Linked DNA regions of Kluyveromyces lactis. The protein of the gene in region 1 purifies or fractionates together with the protein of each later gene. This does not show direct contact. Links are inferred from orthologs where the notes say so. Each region holds a gene or a part of one and is shown on either strand. Other genes may lie near its edges.

Evidence for each region.
Region 2: the proteins of RPS2 (region 1) and RIO1 purify together in Saccharomyces cerevisiae (affinity purification with mass spectrometry; 3 studies listed by BioGRID). This does not show direct contact. The link is inferred for Kluyveromyces lactis from reciprocal best matches to the Saccharomyces cerevisiae genes RPS2 and RIO1.

What each region holds. Positions count from the first base shown.
Region 1 is NC_006042.1:901,760-904,505, forward strand, and holds RPS2 (40S ribosomal protein uS5), read left to right. Parts: upstream 1-1,394; coding exon 1,395-2,174; downstream 2,175-2,746. UniProt on the Saccharomyces cerevisiae protein: Component of the ribosome, a large ribonucleoprotein complex responsible for the synthesis of proteins in the cell.
Region 2 is NC_006041.1:1,885,612-1,888,699, reverse strand, and holds RIO1 (protein kinase RIO1), read right to left. Parts: upstream 2,249-3,088; coding exon 668-2,248; downstream 1-667. Other genes in the region: RTC5 (Rtc5p), read left to right, coding at 1-615; KEI1 (Kei1p), read left to right, coding at 2,573-2,608, 2,724-3,088. UniProt on the Saccharomyces cerevisiae protein: Required for the final endonucleolytic cleavage at site D converting 20S pre-rRNA into the mature 18S rRNA. Required for the final steps of cytoplasmic maturation of the 40S ribosomal subunit.

The DNA.
Region 1 (2,746 bases):
TGATACGTTTGTTGTGAAACTGAATCCCTAAAGAGTTGATAATAGAGAGAATATAGAAAATGTTAAAGCCTTAACAAAATTGTAACGATAGTTTACCTTATTTTAATGAGCACTATTTTTTTTCGGCTTTTTCTGTCTCTTTATATTTTCGGGGTTGAATTTATAGAAAGAAAAAAGGGTAAACTGATTATGGTATTTCTGTCTAAAGGAACTATTAAAAAAAAACACCGGTATGGGCTTTGATTCTGAACTGATTTGAACCAAACTTTGAACTTTTCGATTTGGACCTGAGGTTACTAAACTAAGACAATCTTGTGGAGAAGACTCAAACAATACCCTACTAGTAGTATCGCAGTTATATAATATCGTACTTTTCAGGGATATATCGCTACTTAAATATCCGTGCTCAGAACTGATCTAGAAAACAAAAAAAAAAAAAGAAAACGGGAGATCACAATCACAATCACAATCCCAATCACGATAAAAGCTAAAAGTCGAACAATGATGAAATGTCACAGTGTGACGAAGTGTAACTATTGGTGATGTAGTGTGAGTGCTTTTATGTATTATGTATTGTAATACGGATGGAGCGGTTACAGCCGGTTCCCGCTGCGTTAGTTTGGCTTCTCTGTTCCACGTTTGAACATTTTCTTTCCAAGATGCTGAGAAGGTGTGCGGCATAAACGTCATTTACGCTGGATAGCGATAGAAGTAATCACTTTTCTGTCTCAGAAGATGAATTTGCTTCTGTCTAATAGGCCAATTGGAGTGTATTTGCTACTAACATGGCTTGATAATGTTGTTACCGTAAAATAAGGGCTGTTCTTCTGTATACTTTTCTGTGTCCTATTGACTGAATGTCCTGATTGCGGTGAAAGCAAACTGAGAAAGCAAAATGCATGCCGGACCTGGGGTAACCTAGGGTAACCAAATTATATCTCCTAGTCGGGATATAAATTTTGTGGACTGCTTTTCTCCATTAACACCCGTACATTCGGCAATTTCAATTTCCATCTTTTTTTTCAATAATGATCGCCACTTTCTTTAATAGGAAATATTGACCTTTAAACAAAACTATCTTGACACGTGATTTATAGCCTCTTTATATCCTCTTACCCTGCCAGTACAATCAAAGTTTTTCAAAGGTTTCTAGCTTCACAACCATGCAAACACGTCGGATATTTTTTTTTCACACATGAGACCTATCTATCTCATCACTAAACAAAGCTGCATCTTACCAAACGTTAAGTAATTTAATTTTATAATCTCTATTTGTTTCTCCTTCGAAGCTCCCCACGCATTGTATTTATTGTCGATTGAAAGTTACCTATCCATCAACTTTCCGTGATCCAATCCCGACAAGTCTTTATTAAGTACAATTCGATAAATCAAAGATGTCTGCTCCACAAGCTCAAGGTCAACAAGCTCCACGTAGAGGTGGTTTCGGTGGTGCCAACAGAGGTGGCAGAGGTGGTAGAAGAGGTGGTAGAAGAGACCAAGAAGAAAAGGGTTGGGTTCCAGTTACCAAGTTGGGTAGATTGGTGAAGGCCGGCAAGATCTCTTCCATCGAAGAAATCTTCTTGCACTCTTTGCCAGTCAAGGAATTCCAAATCATTGACCAATTGTTGCCAAACTTGAAGGATGAAGTTATGAACATCAAGCCTGTCCAAAAGCAAACCAGAGCTGGTCAAAGAACCAGATTCAAGGCTGTCGTCGTCGTTGGTGACTCCAACGGTCACGTCGGTTTGGGTATTAAGACCGCTAAGGAAGTTGCTGGTGCCATCAGAGCCGGTATCATCATCGCCAAGTTGTCCGTTATCCCAATCAGAAGAGGTTACTGGGGTACCAACTTGGGTCAACCTCACTCCTTGGCTACCAAGACCTCTGGTAAGTGTGGTTCCGTTTCCGTTAGATTGATTCCAGCTCCAAGAGGTTCCGGTATCGTCGCCTCCCCAGCTGTCAAGAAGTTGATGCAATTGGCTGGTGTTGAAGATGTCTACACCTCTTCTACTGGTTCCACCAGAACTTTGGAAAACACTTTGAAGGCCGCTTTCGTTGCCATCGGTAACACCTACGGTTTCTTGACTCCAAACTTGTGGGAAGTCCAAGCTTTGACTCCTTCCCCAATGGATGTCTACGCCGACTACGCCACTGCTTCCAAGAAGAAGTTGTAAATGTCATCTTTAAAATATTATAACTGTGCTGTATAGATATTTTTTTATAGCTGTCAGTATGTTTTCTCTGAAACAATAATATATTGTTGACATTTTACCAATTGTTCCTCTTCTCTTCACAAGCTACATATCATATATATTCACACTCATTATAATTGACCTTAACCCTTTAGGATCGATCATAATAAATGATCAATATACGTGACAAACTAACTAAGGGAAACTATATGACTGTCCTATACACTTCGTAGCAAGAAAAACCAGAGAAAAAGACATATGGTAAAAAAAAGAGATAGTGATAAAATCAAGGTAAAAGGGATTTCTCTTATATGACCATTAGAGTACAGGTCAAGATACGCCAATCATATTAATAGGCTTCTGGAATTTAAACACTGCCAGTCTCTTTTTTACAGTAGTCTTTCTTCCGGTTGACCTTTTTTTTTTATTACTTTACAGTATTTTTTTACCTTTTAAGACTTTTTTTTTTTTTAATAATTAATAGATATAACACTATAATAATAATTCAAATAAAACAGTTAAGGATATCACCATTAAATAGAGCGGAGTAGATT
Region 2 (3,088 bases), on another chromosome or scaffold:
CTGCAAGAATATGGTAAGTTAAAAAGTGAAGATCAACATTTGGATACGTTAAGTAAGAAAAAACGAAAATTGTTATTTGCTGTTTGTATTCGCGACCCATGGAAAGTATCAAATAAAGATTTGTTTGGTGATTCGTCTACAAAAATTATCCAACTTCATCCAAGACAAGAGATCTTCGATGCGGACCCATTCAAGACAGGAAACGTATATTTCAACACTGTTGGGGGAGGTATAGGTATTGGTAGCTCTCAACCTATCATCAAAGCTAACGGTAAAAAATACTTCCCAGGAAATGTTTCACTTACTATTGATTCATCTCTCGAGTTCGGTATATTTAGACATTTGGGAGCAGGTGGGAGTTTTAAGCCTGGCCGTCTAATAAGTGGACGTGGAGAAGAACGGAATTCGTTCGAATACCGATTCATAATCCAAGATGTAGAAGTGTGGGGATGCGGAGGAGAAAAAGAGCTCGAAGAGCAAGTAAAGCAATGGCAATGGGAAGAGGCCGAAGCCAAAAGAAGGCAAAAGATCAACTTACAAAGCATGGGAGAAGATCGTGCATTATTGGAAATGGCAGGTCTTGTAGGGCAACATCAAAGCGGTGGATCTATTTAAAATCGCTAAGTAAATATTAAATATTTGAAATTGCATAGAATTTTTAAATTGATCATTTCTTGCTTTTCGTCTTGTTAATGAGCTTTTTCTTAACGTGTTTTTTTACTTTGGTCTTCCTCTTTTCACGTTTGGCCTCTTTTGTTTCTTGCTTACGTTGTTTTTTAGCATCTTTATCTTCGTACTTTTTTCCTTTCAGTGGAGTGTCTTTATCGGAGACCCATCCATCACCATCAGAACTATCGTTAGTTTCATCACTATCATCATCTTCATCTGATCCAGCTATGTCATCTTCATTGATATCCGTTACGAGGTTAGGGAGATCATCACCATCTACGTCATCTTCCTCGTCATCAGAAGAAGAGAGTTCATATTGCTCCGATGCTGTGAAATTTTCGGAATATTTCCTGTTTTCATTAGCAATTAATGATTTCAGTAGGTCAAATTTACCATCAGTGAATCTATCAAAATCTCTTTCCTCTAAACCACCCAAATTTCTTATCAAATGTAAAGATCTGAACACTTCATCTTCAGCTTCGTCTTCATCAGTCAACTTTAGAGGTAAATTGTCGGCAACATATGTTTCTAGATCATCGCTTGATCTGTAATCACCCTTGAATTTGTCTAAGACCTCACTGATGATGAACTGGAAGATCACCCGTTCAGGGAAAATGTCAATTCCCAATTTTTGGAAATATGAGTTAACATTCTTAATATCCATTCTTAGGAAATCTAGAGACATAGGATGTTCTGGTTGTACGGATTGCGAAACATCAATAATATAAAGCTTATCCTCATGTACAATACTATTATACTCACTCAAGTCTGCATGAACTAAGCGACATACCTGATATAACAGTCTCATGTACGCTATCATTAAATTGTAGTAATGTTTAATTTCTTCTCTATCTTTGTAAGGATGATCTTTAAGCCTCGGAGATGCGAAACCATCTCCTCTATTTAAAAATTCCATGACTAAAACGTTTGATCTAACTTCTATTGGTTTTGGACAAGGTATGACACCGCTTTGGTATATTCTCTTCAAGTTTCTAAATTCCTTTTCAGCCCAAATTTTGATCATCTTACGAGGATTATGTTGAGATCTCGAATTTCTGAATCTAAATTCACCATCAACGTATCTTTCACGATCCTTAAAAACCAAGATAGATGTCTTGTAAATCTTCACCGCGTATTCCTTCTTATTTTTTGGTTCATCAGTGGCAGTTGAAGTGGATGTGGCATCCTCAGATTCGGCAGTTAGAGCTTTTTGTTTTGTTGATTCAATATTTTGTGGGGCTCCTATTGTATCATCATGTCCCTCTACCAGCAGATGTCTCTCCTCATGATTACCAGCAAACGCATGGTACACGTTTGCTTCTTTACCTGTACTCAAACAACCATTAAATGCTGATAATATTCCCCTGTTCATCATGGATTTCAAAAACCTCATCGTACGTGGGTCTAAAACATTCTCTACAGTGGCCCTATTCGCCTTATCTTTGCTGGTTTTACCCCTAGTTAATGATAACTCATCTGTTTTGATGCTATTGGCATACCTCTCTAGGATCTGAGTGTTGACATGCTCATCACGGTTGGCTAAATTCAGTTTTTCCAGCTTATCGTCAATATTCATCATTCGTAGTCCAACTATAGATAACTTCTGCTTTCTGATTTACTAATTTGACAATACACAGGAGCTGAACGGCGTATATTGTTCTGTAAATAACCACTATTCCAACCTCATCGCTCATCTTGTACACCATTAAAGTAAAGTAGCGTACTTTTTTTTTTCCTACGTTTTTTTTTCACGATGCTCTAGACAGGATCGCGAATTGCTTTTCAATAGAGGAAATAGTTGTAAACATTCTAAAACGCTCAGTAGATGAATTGAAAGGTCTACCTGTGTAAGTGGAAGAAACCAACTTGCTTTAACGTCAGGGTTTGTCCTTATTATACTCCTATGCAGCAGCAATCAAATATGGTTCATTTGCCACAAGTATGTTTCTTTTGGGTATTTAACCGCAGTTGAAAGACGTTTTTACATGATCGTTTGATGCATGGTTTTTTTTTGATACCAGTAATATGTACTAACAGATGACATTGCCCTTTAGACATTCCTGTCTTATCCCTTGTACATAGGTGTTGAGGTTGCACTTGGTGTGCTAACCTTCAACAAATTCAGCGGGATGTATGGTGTTCTTGCACTTTTCACTGGACACCCGTTAGACTTTGTGCAATGGACTTTTTACATCTGGTCAATTTTCTGTCTAGTGGTATTCATTTCAGGAATAAGACAAGTTTATAAGCCCAATATCCTCTTAATGTCCACGGTTACTTTTGTGTTCAGTGTGGACACAATTGTTAGTTGCATTTACTGCTTATGGTTCACTGCTGTGTGGTTCAGCCAGGAGGGCTCCACTGACGTTACGGACTTGAAGAGCGCGGGAACCGCACTTGGACCAGCTCATGAGGGAAC